Linked DNA regions of Callithrix jacchus. The protein of the gene in region 1 interacts with the protein of each later gene in a biochemical or structural test. Links are inferred from orthologs where the notes say so. Each region holds a gene or a part of one and is shown in the gene's direction. Other genes may lie near its edges.

Region 1 (4,151 bases):
CAGTGAGCTGAGATAGCACTAATGCACTCCAACCCGGGCTACAGAGCAAGACTCTGTCTCTCTCTCTCTCTCAAAAAAAAAGATTTATAGTACGGCTAAAATTTTTCACAACAGATTTTTTCCTGCCTAATCATTTGGCTATTTGTCTTTAACTCTTACAGAAAAGTTGGGTCATAGTCTTGGTTTTGATTACCCATCTCAGTGTCATTGATTGTGCCACCTAAATTTTTCTGGACCTCTTGTTGGTTGAATGAGAGGGTTGGATTATGTGATCACCAGGACCTTTCTAATCGTCATCTCCTAGAATATACATTTTGTGGATTCAGTCTTTAAGTCTAGCCCACTTACTCGGTTTCCTAAATATAATGCCTTCTATTTGGAGCAAATATGGTATACTTTTATTACTAAGAATATATCACTTACTCCTAATGTGAGCTGACTGCATAGGTTATAATTGTAATCATTCATTGCATTTCTCGTCTATTTGCAAATATACGTGCTCTCCATAGATAATCACGTCTGCTCCTCACAACAGCTTTATAAGGTGGATTTTAAAGCTCCCATTTTACGGAGGAGGAAGCTAAGGCTCACACAGTTTTGATTCATCCAAGGTCAAATAAATAGAGTGGCGGAACCAGAATTCCAGCCCCGTGTGTCTGGCAACAAAGCCTTTATGTTTAAAAAAACATTAATGAAGCCGTATATATTTTCTGATTCTAAGGATCATGGACATCGTTTTTCAACCATAGATTTTTTTCCCCCTTTCTTAAATCATTAGCTCTTGTCTTTGATTTTACTATTTGCTTACTTCCTGCCCACTTAACCAACCGACAGGGAAGAGAGTAGGAAGAGGTTACTGTTTTTATGTTAAGTGCCTTTTCAGAGTCTAATTTACAGCCAAGAACAGCAAAAGAACCCCTTGGCTTTGTGCCTCTGCGGCGCTCTGGAGACCTTTTCCCTCGTCCCTCTTCCTTTCCGAGAAGCCGCGTTCCGTCGTTGAACTACGTTTCCCAGCGTGCCGCGCGGCCGAGAGCGTAGGCTCGACCAGTCCTTCCTCTTTGCCTATCAGCTCGTCGCAGCGTGATGATGCAAATGCGTCGGGCGCTGATGAGTGACGACATTCTGGTTCGCGACCGCAGCAGCCGCTTTAGCGGCGGTAATAGGCGCAACGGCGGCGGCGGCTGCAGAGACGACGACGACGGCGGGGCGGGCGCTGAGCGCACAGGGGAGGGGTAGGCGGGCGGCGCCAGCGGCTTCAACTGCGGCAGCTACGGCTAGGGCGACGGAAGAACCCCACCAGCCGGCGGTCGAGTTAGGCCTCAGCAGCGCCGGGAGCTGTTCGCGCTGTCCTCTGCGGGAGATCTCCATAGAGACCGTGACATACAGAGAGGCGGGGGTCCGCAGAGGCGGCCGGACCGGAGCCAGCTCCTTGGCCTCTGCGGCCGCCACCCCCTTCCCGGCTGCCAGCACTCACCCTCTCTCCGCTCCTGCTCTCAACCTCGCGGTTCCTGGGGTGCCTGTGCCCACTGTGTGGACAGCGCGGGCGGACTTTGGGCCGGGGCCGGGCGGGGGGGCGCTCTAAGGCCTCCGCCTCTGCCTCTCCCGCCCCCTTACCCGCCCCGGAGCGGGAAGCGGCGGAGGCTCCGCCATGGCCTCAGGAGCCGGAGGAGTCGGAGGGGGCGGTGGCGGCAAGATCCGGATGCGGCGTTGCCATCAGGGGCCAATTAAGCCTTACCAGCAGGGGCGACAACAGCACCAGGTATGGGACCTGACGACGTGGTGGTCTGGCGGGTCGGGAACTCGGCTGGAGGGGACAGGCGGTTCGAGGCCCCGGCGCCCCACGTGGAGCAGACAGGAGGGCCTGAGGAAAGGCCCGAGTGAGGCTCCGGGGGAGCTCAAGCCATTGGGGGTGGTGACGGGAAGTGGGCTGAAACAGGCCCAGCTTTGCGGCGCACACGTGTGGTTCGGGCCGCCTTTTCCCCAACCCTCTGGGCCAGGGGCTTTCCCAGGCAGGCTCTGGGCGGGAAAAGAAATTGTAGGCCTAGGGTGCCGGTGCGCGCGTTTCTTTCTTTTTTGGCGGGGATTGGGAGTTTGAGGGTATTACGTCCTTTCGAGAGAGAAAGGAAAAGATGTGATTGACGGCCCTTATGCTTACTGTTTTCTAGTCTCTCCTTCAGTGTGGGGAGGAGGGTAACCCCGAAGAATCTTAACTCTGGGGCAGACAGGGAGTTGTTGGGGGCGCTGTTATATGGAAAGTGGAATAACTTAATCTCAGCCTATGAATTAATTCTCGGTTTCCCCTGCCCGTGTCCCTCGTTTTGAGAACATTGGCTTATATTTTCGTAACCGGGTTATAGTTAACCGTGGCACTGGGGCATTTTGAAAGTCCCTCTCCACCCTTACGTCTTTTCTCTGCTGCGCGACTCCCCCCCCCCCTTATTTTGGAGGCTGGAATTGGCCATTCTCCACAGTTGACCGGGACTCCCGCTCTGATCTCATACACAAAATATGTTAATATTATGGGGCGTATTTTAGAAGTTTAGTTACTTTCGACACTCCAGGAATGTTGATGATCTTATAGTTTAGCCACTGTATGGACTCTTGGATGTTTAAAATATAAAAAAAGATGATCCTAATTGTAAATGGGATCGTTGATTCCGAGAAAATTCCATTTTTAAAATACTGCTTATTAGAAGGATTAAGGAAATGTTACAACACCTACTTTAATAAAGCCACTTAAAAAACTTACCAATGATACAAGGTGGGAAGTGTGTCTTAACAAAAATGTAGCAAAAGGATCTGATAACTTGTTGCCTGCTGTTAAAGGTAGACTTCCTAGATTACTTTATTCTGGATGCTAATGAAGATTGCACACTTTCACATGTTCGATGTTGTTAAATTGTGTCATTATCAACAGATTTTTAAAAGTAAAGATTTGAGGGATTTTTAAAATTTCCTTTTCTATTTTGAGGGAAATGTCTGAGTAGTAAAAATTGTGGTTCCGGTATTTTAAGTCGTTCTCTACTGATGGTTAGAAGGTTTGGCATTGTTATTACTCCCACCAGTTTTTCCCCAGATACGTATGTAAAGTGCTTGGTTTTCAAATTTCTGAAGCACGGGGGTATTTGCAAGCAGATTTAAGATTATAATTCAGTTCACAAGCCTGGCCATTTAACCTAATCCTTCTGTAGAATGAAAGTTAGACGTGCATGCTTTCTTTTCTCTTATGAAGGTCTTTGAGTGCTTAGATTTTCTTGTATGACATACAGAAAAATGGCATGTTTTAAATATAGGCCATTGGGTCTGGGTAGACGTTAGCAAGGAATTAATATTTGCCAGATGCTGAAGTTAATCATGGCTTATTTTTAAATGCACTTAGATAAAATACAAGTGTAATTTTGGGGAGACGATGCCTTGGCAGCATAACACCTATGATCCACGTTGTCTTAGAGTTGATATGACTTCAGACTGTTTAGTTTTGTTTTAAATCCTGATAATTTATCATTGCCTCCTGTCTGAAATACTTTTGCCTCTTGCTTCTGGCTATTAAAAAAGAAAACATATTTTAGCTTTTGAATTGGGAATTAAAGGTATTTAGGGGTTTCTTGGTCAACACTGTAGGTGCTATTTAATATTGGCAGAAACTACCACTACCCAAGGAAATTATTCAGGTGTATTCAAAAGAATACTCTCCTTTTTATTATTATTATCATTTAAAAAATAAGGACTTCCTTAGTCCTTACTGGGACTTCGGTGGACCTAGGGTCGTTAGTCCTTACTGGGACTTTGGTGGACCTGCTTGCTGTCAGCTATCCTAGACTGTCAACTGGATGTTTTGCAGCAGCTGCTGAGTCATCATGAAGCTCCTTGCATGTTTGATACTAATGTTATTTGATTAAGCGTCCAAGGGTTTCTGGGCAAAAATGAAGCTTTTGGTAGTATAACAGAAAGTTGAAGTAAGAATGAGAGGTCTGGCGCTGTTAGTTAATGGATGTTTGCCAATGCTTGTCAGGCCAACTTGCTAGTGCAGTCTTCACCCAGTACCTGTGACTTCTGCATATGTTCATTTGACTTGCAATTTCCTGTTTTGACTTCTGGGTTTAGCTCTCCTGGGAAAAGCTGTAAATTTACCACTTTCCCTCTTTAACTTC
Region 2 (4,304 bases), on another chromosome or scaffold:
TTTCTCCCAATTACAGCAAGACTGTCATCCTTACTAGCTATGTCATCATTTCTGGGTGGGAGCGTCGAAGGGCCTAGGCAGTGAGTGGAATGAGCCCACTGCCCAGTACCAGAACTGAAAGGGTTGGGCTAATGGCTCTGCAGGGTATTACTGCTGACAGGCTATATTGGGCTCTGACACACAGCTGCCTCCAGGCAGGGCAGAACCAAGTGTTGCAACACTTCATTAGCATAGAAACTTCCTTTCACACAGGGGAGCAGGATCCCAGAGGGGGTCCTTGATTGGTGGCAACTTCCAGGACCATCTCAAGCAGTGTTTGGACCTGTTTGATATCTTCCTTAAGCTAAGCAAGGTAGAAGCTCTGCCTGCTGCCAGGAGTGGAAGGTGGAGGATTTGTTCCCAACTCCAGCTGAGGCTTTTGGTTCCCTCCAAGCCCCTCACCAAATCAAAGCCAATCACAGAGACTGGAGAAGACACCTGCCCAGAATACCCACCATCCAGGTGTGCTTTGTTCTTCCTGACCAAGACTTAACCACATTCTGAGGCTACTCGAGTGCCCCTGCCTCACATATTCCAAAGGAAGTTCAAGCTATAGAGACAACAATCAGGGGCTGGTGCTTCTGGGGGTCTAGGAGATCCCAAGGCCCTGATACTTTAAAATGTTCTCCTTGGCATCTCCAGCAAGTTGTCTGCCACTGCTGGTGAGCTTCACTGTCGGCCTTATTGACACGATGGGTTTCTAGTAGGGAACGTCATTGATGGAAGGTCTATAATGTCAATGCTCGGCAAAGCCCTGATAGATGCCGTCTCATTTGACTCAGCAACTCGCGGCGGGGCGGGTGGGGAATGCAAAGAACAGAAATTCATTTATTTCACAAATACATGTTGAATTTCTACTATGTGCCAGGCATGGTACCGAATCAAGCCCTCGAGGAAGAAAGCTATTAATTAGTCAAGGTTCCTGCTCCCATGAAGCTTACATTCTAATTCTCAACTTCGTGATTATTAATCCATCTTATAGGCAAAGAAAGCGAGGCATAGACAAGGAGCCGAGCTGAAACTGGCTGGATTCCGGTGGGGGTCTAAGCCATCACTTCCACCTGGAGGCGCATCACTTCCACCTCGGAAGCCCTTCGTGCGGTCCCCTTCCCCGCTCTGAACTCTGGGCTGCAGTTGCAGCACTCTGTTCCAGCACTAACTCTGGAGGTGCCCAGGGCAGCGTCAGCGGACAAATGAAAAGGTGCCAGGAGCTGCTGGCAGCCAGCCGGAATTCCGCAAGCTCAGGCCTTGGGCGGGGCGTGGAGGGTCGGGCCCCGCCCCTCACACGACGGGCTTCAGTGTGCGCACGCGCAGTGGCCGCGCTTTCTACAGCAGTGGCACCGCCCACAGCCTAGAACGTCAGCGGCGCGCGACGTGCTATTCCGAATAAATGCGGTGGCGCCCGTCGTAGGGACACTTTGGTCCTGAGCGCTTGGGGGTTCGGACGTTTGGTGGCGTAGCGGCCCGCGCCTGAGCCCGCCCTTGCTCTTCGCTGTGGTATGGCGGACGAGGGGAAGTCGTACAGCGGTCAGTGCTGGTCCTTGAGTCGAGAGCCGGCTATCTGGGACCCCCGGGTGGGAGGCGCCGGCCTAGGCCTCAGCCCCCGGGACGTGAGGCCGCAGGGGCTCGGCGTCCGTGGGGAGCGGCGCGCGGAGGAACCGGGAGCACTTGAGGTGGACACCGAGTTGTTGAACTCCTGGATTCCTGTTGGAATCCTGGTGTTGGAGGACCTGCGGCTCGGAGCGGGTGGCTTGGGGGTGGGGTGACCGGATTCCTTTGAACTTTGTGGGTGGTTGATGCCTGTCAGTTCGGTTTGGCGGCCTGACTCTTCCTTTAATGTGAGTTAGTGCCCTGCTCGTGGGCTGCCCTGGTGCCCTATTTTTTACTGCGTCCAGTCGGTCTTGAAACCTCGGGCCTGGGTTTGGCTTAATATTTGAGACACCTCAACTGGATGTTCTAGTCTGAACACTACACTGGATGTTAGTCCTTTGTAGTAGTTAGGAGTGCATGGCGGAGGTTGAAACCGTGAATTTAAAACTCGTTTTCCACCTCCTTAATGCGGAATAACAACAGTATCTGTTTTTTAAGAGTGGAGGAGGCGGGCAGGGGTGCGGGGAATGAGATCATTTCTATCAAGTGCCTGAAGCATAGTGGCCGGCACTGGAGAAAGTTCTCAGTGAATGTTAGGTGCGCCTTCTGTGTACTTTTTTTCTTGGGGTCATTTGTTGAGATTCATTGTTTACAGTATCTGTATTAGGCAGACTTCTTTTGGGAGTTAGAGACCTTTTAAAGATGCCAGTCCTACACAGCATGTGTCAGAAGGTCATATTCCTGGAGAGCATTCCAGGATCCCTGGTTAAGCACCTGAGCCTGGCACTGCCAGTAGATCCTGAGTCTAGAAGTTGTCTGTCTTCTGAGTTAAAGGCCATTTCTGGCCAAGGAAATGAAGAGCTCCTCACAAAACTTCCAAGTGGCAATTTGAGAACAAGAAGAATTTTTTAGAGGATCCTTAAATTGGTCATATTTGTAACTGGCATCTGTACTGTGGAGAAAAAGTACTGAGTGGCAGATTTCACGTGGCTATCAGAGGTCTGATTTGTGTTCAGTTACACTTTTGGTTGTCACATTTCTACCTTCTGCTTCTCTCTAATTCCAGTTTCTGCTTCATTTTTCTTTTTTCTTGTTTTTTTTTTTTTTTGAGATGGAGTTTCGCTCTTGTTACCCAGACTGGAGTGCAATGGCATGATCTCGGCTCACCGCAACCTCCGCCTCCTGGGTTCAAGCAATTCTCCTGCCTCAGCCTCCCATGTGGCTGGGACTACAGGCGCGTACCACCATGCCCAGCTAATTTTTGTGTTTTTAGTAGAGACGGGGTTTCACCTTGTTGACCAGGATAGTCTCGATCTCTTGACCTCGTGATCCACCCGCCTCGGCCTCCCAAAGTACTGGGATTATACGCATAAGCCACCGTGCCCGGCCTCTGCTTCATTTTTCAAAAGCCCTACACAATTTTCCAATAACTTCCCTGATGCTTCCCTCCCACAGAGAGGGTTCTTACCGCTGGACTGCCAGTGGAGTTTGCATGGACATGGCCTCTGTAGTTAGTATGTATTTCTTCCCATAGTGCAGAGTACTAGAAACTGATTGCTACGCCAAGCAGGACCAGTTACTTACTCCTAATTTGTGTTCCTGTTTCTAACTTCAGAGCACGATGATGAACGTGTTAATTTCCCTCAAAGAAGGAAGAAAGGCCGGGGTCCCTTCCGGTGGAAATATGGTGAAGGAAACCGTAGGTCTGGAAGAGGTGGTTCTAGTATTCGGTCTTCCCGCCTTGAGGAAGATGATGGAGATGTGGCAATGAGTGATGCCCAAGATGGTCCCCGAGTACGATAGTAAGTGACCAGTTGGTCTGGTTTGAATTTAGTGGCCCATGAGATTATATGGCCCTTTTACTGTCCATGTTATTTCCTTTCCAACCTGAAAGAGTGAGAAATGCCAGGAGTGGCTTAATGATTGAACAATCTTAGTTGTAGTCCCACTAACAGTGCAGGTAGGTCTCTGAGAAGACTTTCCTAGCATTTATGGTCATTTTATTCTCTGCTTGCCCACAGCAACCCCTATACCACCCGGCCTAACCGTCGGGGCGATACGTGGCATGATCGAGATCGCATTCATGTTACCGTGCGGAGAGACAGAGCTCCTTCAGAGAGAGGAGGAGCTGGCACCAGCCAGGATGGGACCTCAAAGAACTGGTTCAAAATTACAGTGAGTTCTTGGAGAAAGTAGATAGTGCGGTAGCGATGGGAGGCTGCAGTCAGCCTGGAGATGTTTAGTTTTATTCCACAAAAATTACTATTTTTTTTTGAGATGGAGTCTGCTCTATCACCCAGGCTGAAGTGCAGTGGTGTGATCTCAGCTCACTGTAGCTTCCGCCTGCCTGGTTCAAGTGATTCTTCTTTTTTTTTGGATGGAGTTTCACTGTTGTTACCCAGACTGGAGTGCAATGGCACGATCTCAGCTCACTGCAACCTCCGTCTCCTGGGTTCAAGCAATTCTCCTGCCTCAGCCTCCCGAGTAGCTGAGACGACAGGCGCTCACCACCATGCCCAGCTAATTTTTGTATTTTTACTAGAGACGGGATTTCAACTCATTGACCAGGACGATCTCGATCTCCTGACCTTGTGATCCACCCGCCTCGGCTTCCCAGAGTGCTGGGATTATAGGCGTGAACCACCGTGCCTGACCATCAAGTGATTCTTCTGTTT
Region 3 (3,564 bases), on another chromosome or scaffold:
AATACAAAAATTAGCTGGGCATGGTGGTGCGCGCCTGTAATCCAAGCTACTCGGGAGGCTGAGGCAGAATTGCTTGAACCCAGAAGGCAGAGGTTGTGGTGAGCCGAGATTGTGCCATTGCACTCCAGCCTGGGTAACAACAGCGAAACTCCATCTCCAAAAAAAAAAAAAAGAGCAAAGAGATATAGGCATTTTTTTAGGCAACTTAGTTTATAGGGAGTCTAGTATCTTTGGAATTCACTGTAGCATTTCATTGTTGAAGAATTGCCTTGATATTGTGGAAACTCAGTAAGCTGAAATTCTAACTATATTATTCACTAATGAAGGAAATATTTAATCTTTTCTTTACCATCCTCACAGATAGACTTGTTGAAACAAGGGGACCTCTGTGTTCATTGAGAAGTGAAAAGAGGTACATTCAGTTCATTCTACACTTTAATATATATTTTCTTTATCAGCTGTATTTGTGAGTAAGTGGTTCTTTGGAATTGTGAACTCTTTTCATTTCTGGTAGTTGGTCAGCATATATGAGTAGATAGGTAGCTAGCTCTTGGGTCAGATGTCCACGCTACCTTGGTGGGTTGGGGGGTGCCCTTTATCTCCCAGGCATCAGGGTTGGGAGAATCGCATGATTCTTAGATAGGAGTGTGGGTCTAGTGGAGATATCTAGAGGTCTGTGTCTTTAGGATAAGAACAATAAAGGCAGTTCAGCATACCTTAGGATTTTTGGATGATGGTTTATGGCAGAGTTTGTAAATTATGGCCTATAGGCCAAATCTGGTCTGCTTGCCTATTTTTGTATAGTACGTTTCTGTTGAAGTGTGCACATTCATTTACATACTGTCTATGGCTGCTTTTAAATTACAGTGGTAGAGTTGCCACGATATGCCCAAGACCATAAAACCTGCAAAGCCTAAAATACTGTCTGTGCTTTTTCAGAAAAGTTTGTTGGCTCTTGATTTAGAATATTATATAAAAAGGCAATTTTTATTTGCAGATTATGAAATCTTATTTCTAAAACTAGGATGTGCTAGGTTTGAGTCATCTAGCAGAAATCTATCATCTCTCAATTATTTTCCTTAGGTGTACAAAGGGGAAAATTTCTGATACAGAAAAGATGGTTGGACTCAGATTTGAAAATGAAAGTGTAAGTAAAAATCCTAGTTAAATCTAATATCCATAGGCCAGGTGCATGGCTCACTCCTGTAATCCCAACACTTTGGGAGTCCAAAGCGGGACATTATCTGAGGTCGGGAGTTTGAGACCAGCCTGACCAACATGTAGAAACCCTGTCTCTACTAAAAATAAAAAAATTATCCAGGCATGCCTGTGGCACATGCCTGTAATTCCAGCTACTCGGGAGGCTGAGGCAGGAGAATCGCTTGAACCCAGGAGGTGGAGGTTGCAGTGAGCCGAGAATCTGCCATTGCACTCCAGCCTGGGCAACAAGAGTGAAACTCCGTCTCAAGAAAAAAAAAAATTTTGATACCCATTTACTTACATAACTTATGTTTTGGTACCAATGAAAAAGAAGAAAAATTATATATATATTACTTAGATTGTTACTTCTGTTGTTTTCTTTAAGAAAGCAGCAAGCCAGCCAGGCACAGTGGCTCATGCCTGTAATCCCAGAACTTTGGGAGGCCAAGGCAGGAGGATCTTGAGCCCAGGAGTTTGAGACCAGCCTGGGCAACATAGTGAGACTGTCTCCACAAAAAATTTAAAAATTAGCCAGGCATGGTGACACATCTGTAGTCTCAGCTACCTGGGAAGCTAAGACAGGAGGATTGCTTGAGCCCAGGAGGTCAAGGCTGCAGTGAGCTGTGATCACACCACTGCACTCCAGCTTGAGTGACAGAACGAGACTCTGTCTCTTTAAAAAAAAAAAGGCAAGTATTGAAAATATACAACCTTTTTCTTCTTTCTGAGTTGTTGGAGTTTTGCCTCTGTACAGTAGCCACCTTTGTTTATGAAAGATGAACCTATCTCCATACCAACACTTTACCTACATTTTATGGCTTTTTATGGAGAATTTCTTAAAAATCATACATCTCTGATAATGCTTTAGGGTGCTGGCAGAATTCTATTTGTTTATATAACCACAATGGTGGTTATATAGGTGTTCATTTTACAAAAATGAATTAAGTGGTACATTAATGTTTTGTGCATTTTCTATAATATAAAATGACTTTTTACAAGGATAAGCTAGAACCAAGTTTAGTTAGCATAAAGATAGGTATTTGTTCTGAGTGGTGGGATTGTGGGTCATATTTTTTGCTATTTAAAACTTTCATAATAATCTTTTAAACATACTATTTTTAATTGTGATAGGAGAACTGAAAATACTTTTTTTGCTCCTTCCAGGGAATGTGGCGAGTGTTCTGTTTCATGGTTTGTAACTGAGGTATCCTGTGAATCTTAGGTCTGGAGTTTTTTTGTTTCCCCTTGCAGGGACAGGCAGATATGATAAATCTACTCATTTGGGGGATTTGCTAATTCTCTTTTCTTTCATATTACTGACAGTTTTATATTTCATGTGTTATCTATGTTTATATTAGCAAGTATCAAACATGTCAGTAGAATGTAGATGCTTTTTTGATCAGAGGAGGGGATACCAGCTGGAGCCTGACCTATCAGAAGAAGTGTCAGCCCGACTCCGCCTGGGCAGTGGAAGCAATGGCTTACTCAGGAGGAAAGTGTCAATAATTGAGACAAAGGAAAAGAATTGCTCAGGCAAAGAGAGGGACAGAAGAACAGATGATCTCCTTGAACTTACAGAGGTATTGTTCTTTGTATTGATCCTAAAAAGAGGCATGTCTTTAAATAACCTCAGTACTTCTAAACTTGAATGTTTTGTTTTGAGGACTTTCTCCAGGCTAAGGATGAATATATGAAAACAAATCAGGCCCATGATCTATTTATGCACTTTGGCTACACTGATCATTAGTGAGGCATGATCGTTAGTGACCTAAGGGATCAAACTGATATTCAGCAAATGTGAGTCGACACAGTCATCACATATCTTGGAATTCAACAAATTCTTTGTAGATTCTAACCTTCAAATATGTTGAGTGAGTTATATAGCATAGGTTTGGAATTAGGAATAAGTCCACTGCATTTTTTAAAAAGTGATTATAGTTTACTAAGATGTCCCTTTTGTTGATTATTGCATCTGAAAATTGTAAAAATTTACAGAACATAAAGAATGAAGGTAGTTAAAATTCTTATTTTAAAGATGCACCCACATCTTGGCTTCCTCTACAGTAGGAATCTAGTAGGTGAATCTCTCTTGAATACTTACTATTATATTGGGCATGCAGGTGGAGAGAGAGATCCATAAAACAGTGAAACTGTGCAGTGGGAGGAAGCAGTGGTAAAAATATTTAGAGGAAAATAATTTTTTTTTTTTTTTTTTTTTTTTGAGACAGAGTTTCGCTGTTGTTGCCCATGCTGGAGTGCAATGGCACGATCCTGGCTCACTGCAACCTCTGCCTCCTGGGTTCAAGCAAGTCTCCTGCCTCAGCCTCTGAGTATCTGGGACTACAAGCGCCCACCACCATGCCC
Region 4 (3,564 bases), on another chromosome or scaffold:
CATAGCCAGCTAATTTCCCCGACAACTACCATATTTTTATATGGGATCAAGAACTTGGGGTGAATACAGTTGACTTATAAACAAGCTTTTGAAATGTTGTTTAAAGGGGATTATAAGTTGGAGACAACCTTTAATGATTCATGCTTTATGTCAGCTATACCTAAAGTCATGAACAAAGTAAACCTTCAGGAAGGGAGCTGAGCACAAAATGTTTTTTTTTTTCCTTTAGTTTTTGAGACAGAGTCACGCTCCTGTCACCGAGGCTGGAGTGCAATGGTGTGATCTTGGCTAACTGCAACCTCCCAGGTTCGAGTGATTCTCATACCTCAGCCTCCCACATAGCTGGGACTACAGGTGCCCACCAATGTGCCTGGCTAATTTTTATACTTTCAGTAGAGATGAGGTTTCACCATGTTGGCCAGGCTGGTCACAAACTCCTGACACCTCAGGTGATCTGCCCACCTCGGCCTCCTAAGTTCTGGGATTACAGGTGTGAGTCACCTGTACCCAAGAAAATTGGGGTATTTTCTTCATAGCTATTCAGACAACCTGTTAAATTGTTAACATGGTTCTTTACCATTTCAAACCATTTTTCCCTCTGTAATTTTAGCTCATTTCCTAAAGGACCGTTCTAAATTTTAGCTGTCTGGAGACCATAATGAACATAACTGTTGGCTCAAAGGACTTGAAGATTTGGTTATTAGATATTGTGTTTCCAAACTCAAACCATGTCTGCAGTCATACCAGTTTCTGAGTTCTTATTTCTGGCAAGACAGTGTCTATATTCTCTGTATTATTCTCTGTCCTTTCCCCTCAGTTGAGCCTTTAAGATTTTCGCTGTGTTCTTTACAGACCCGATGGACACCAGAACAACCTGAGGAGTTCTGCATATGAATCTCTGATGGAAATTGTGAAAAACAGTGCCAAGGATTGTTACCCTGCTGTCCAGAAAACGACTTTGGTCATCATGGAGCGACTGCAGCAGGTGCTTCAGATGGAGGTGAGACCTAAGAAGGCCCCTGACTATGGGTGGGAATAGGGCAGTACTTTGGACACCTAGGTCTATTTTCCAGACTGTTCTGTCTTTTTGGTGTTTATATATTTTCTCAGAAGGATATGAAGTTTATTTAAAAAAAATTACACCTTAACGTTAGCATTGCTTGTCATGGTTTACTCAGACATGTGTTATATATATTGTGGGTTTGTTGTTGTTGTTTACTTTCCTGTGTTGGCATTAGGGAAGATTATTGAATGGTTACGTAGAGTATGTTTTCTTCTTTTCCTTGTAGTCACATATCCAGAGCACATCCGATAGAATCCAGTTCAATGACCTTCAGTCTTTACTCTGCGCAACTCTTCAGGTATTATGGTGCTATATCATTTCTTAGTAACTCCAGGAAAGATAATTAATATCTCAGTATGACAAGTTCATGTATACACAGAACTCAAAAATGGTATCGATGATGCTGATCAGAAGCTGTTCTCAGAAGACTTTGGTCTGTGATTGATGAATTGGGAGAGGAATTTCCCACCGGCCTTTCCTCACTGTCTAGAAAGATTCAAATCCTACTTTATTTATAGATGGTCTAGATATAATCTTGATAAACTCAAATCAACTTGACTTCTCCCAACTCAGTGTACACTCATCAAACCTCCCTTCCTCACTCTTGTTTGTTTCAACTAATGTCTCAGTGTAGAGAAGTAAACTACTTGATGTTTGATGGTTCCTCCCAGCTGTATAGCTGGTTTGTGTTGACAGCTTGAATGGTTTTGGTTTTTTGATTTTGAAAACCAAAAGAACTCTTGGTTTTTAATTAAGTTATTCGAGCCTAGCTCAGTCATATTTGGTTCCCAGCTATAGTTCACTTGACTAAAAATAAAGCCTTGAGTTTGTACCATCATCTTTTGAAACATTTGCTGTTTGACCTATTGTCAGTGACATTAATTGAAACAAGAAGAAGGAATGTTTGATGAATGTATATTGAATTGAGAGAAGTCAAGTTGGTTTGATTTTTATCAAGATTATTTCTAGACCATCTGTAAATGGGTAGGATATAGGAAGGGTTGCTTTTTGTTTGTTTTATTAAAAAGAGCTCTAAGGTAACAGGGCTTTTTTAAAGCTCAAGTAATTTAACTATCTAGTAAGACTAGACTATGGAGGCTACCAGCATGGATTTGTCAGACACTAAGGCAAATAAAATGCAGACATGACCTTCTGCACAATGGAGGATCAGCTCACATTGGTTCTGAATTGAGAAATTCAGAAACTGGGGAATGTTAAAATGTATTGCTGGCTGGGCACAGTGGCTCACCCCTGTAATCCTAGCATTTTGGGAGGCCAAGGTGGGTAGATATCTGAGGTCAAGAGTTTGAGATCAGCCTGGCCAACATGGTAAAACCCTGTCTCTACTAAAAATACAAAAATTAGCTTGACACAGTGTGTTGTGTGCCTGTAATCCGAGCTACTGGGAGACTGAGGCACAAGAATTGCTTGAACCCGGGAGGCGGAGGTTGCAGTGAGCCAAGATAACACCACTATACTCCAGCCTGGGCAACAGAGTGAGACTCTGTCTTAAAAACAAAAAAGTAGGGAGAGGGCTGGGTGCAGTGGCTCATACCTGTAATCCCAGCACTTTGGGAGGCTGAGGTGGGCGGATCAGCTCAGATTGGGAGTTCGAGACCAGCCTGACCAACATGGGGAAACTTTGTCTCTATTAAAATACAAAAAATCAGCCAGGTGTGGTGGTGTGCGCCTGTGATCCCAGCTACTTGGGAGGCTGAGGCAGGAGAATTGCTTGAACCCGGGAGGCTGAGGTTGCGGTGAGTCGAGATTGCGCCATTGCACTCCAGCCTGGGCGACGAGTTAAACTGCATCTCAAAAAAAAAAAAAAAAAAAAAAAGTATTGTTAATGATTGGTATTATCAGAGTTTTTTAGTATAAAAAGTACATTTGGCATTCACAAAAGAAAGTCAAAGGACTTAATTGATTTTTAAAAAGAAGGTATACTGTTCTGATTGGGAGATTGGGAATCAACTGATCTTGAACTCTTACTCATTTCACAGAATGTTCTTCGGAAAGTGCAACATCAAGATGCATTGCAGATCTCTGATGTGGTCATGGCCTCCCTGTTAAGGATGTTCCAAAGCACAGCTGGCTCTGGGGGAGTACAAGAGGATGCCCTGATGGCAGTTAGCACACTGGTGGAAGGTCAGTGAAAAATACTGTCTGGTCAGGGAATGTCTTTAGAATGCAGGCATTTCAGTGGCCTTAAATAATTGTCACCCAGGCTGGAGTGCCGTATCATGATCTTGGCACACTGCAGCTTCCACATCCTGGGATCAAGTGATTCTTCCACCTGAGCCCCCACCCCCACCCCCGACACACCAGTAGCTAAGACTACAGATGCACACCACCATGCCTGGCTAATTTTTTATATTTTTGGTAGAGACGGGGTTTCGCCGTGTTGCCCATGCTGGTCTCAAACTCCTGAGTCAAGTGATGCTTCTGCCTCAGCCTCCCAAAGTGCTAGAATTATAGATGTGAGCCACCATGCCAGGACGTTA

Evidence for each region.
Region 2: the proteins of NUP153 (region 1) and NXF1 form a complex in vitro, tested with the Homo sapiens proteins (2 studies listed by BioGRID and IntAct). The link is inferred for Callithrix jacchus from reciprocal best matches to the Homo sapiens genes NUP153 and NXF1.
Region 3: the proteins of NUP153 (region 1) and SENP2 form a complex in vitro, tested with the Homo sapiens proteins (2 studies listed by BioGRID). The link is inferred for Callithrix jacchus from reciprocal best matches to the Homo sapiens genes NUP153 and SENP2.
Region 4: the proteins of NUP153 (region 1) and KPNB1 form a complex in vitro, tested with the Homo sapiens proteins (4 studies listed by BioGRID and IntAct, with this or other methods). The link is inferred for Callithrix jacchus from reciprocal best matches to the Homo sapiens genes NUP153 and KPNB1.

The regions. Positions count from the first base shown.
Region 1 is NC_133505.1:13,063,867-13,068,017, forward strand, and holds the start of NUP153 (nuclear pore complex protein Nup153), read left to right. Parts: upstream 1-1,368; 5' UTR 1,369-1,648; coding exon 1,649-1,759; exon of another isoform or gene 1,760-1,871; intron 1,872-4,151. Other genes in the region: uncharacterized protein LOC103792250, read right to left, coding at 1,066-1,368. UniProt on the Homo sapiens protein: Component of the nuclear pore complex (NPC), a complex required for the trafficking across the nuclear envelope. Functions as a scaffolding element in the nuclear phase of the NPC essential for normal nucleocytoplasmic transport of proteins and mRNAs.
Region 2 is NC_133511.1:120,085,530-120,089,833, reverse strand, and holds the start of NXF1 (nuclear RNA export factor 1), read left to right. Parts: upstream 1-1,454; 5' UTR 1,455-1,538; coding exon of another isoform or gene 1,539-1,566; intron 1,567-2,765; 5' UTR 2,766-2,781; coding exon 2,782-2,863; intron 2,864-3,244; coding exon 3,245-3,431; intron 3,432-3,650; coding exon 3,651-3,804; intron 3,805-4,304.
Region 3 is NC_133516.1:14,564,562-14,568,125, forward strand, and holds part of SENP2 (sentrin-specific protease 2), read left to right. Parts: intron 1-360; coding exon 361-412; intron 413-1,083; coding exon 1,084-1,147; intron 1,148-2,558; coding exon 2,559-2,780; intron 2,781-3,564. UniProt on the Homo sapiens protein: Protease that catalyzes two essential functions in the SUMO pathway.
Region 4 is NC_133506.1:118,627,025-118,630,588, reverse strand, and holds part of KPNB1 (importin subunit beta-1), read left to right. Parts: intron 1-852; coding exon 853-1,000; intron 1,001-1,289; coding exon 1,290-1,361; intron 1,362-3,063; coding exon 3,064-3,208; intron 3,209-3,564.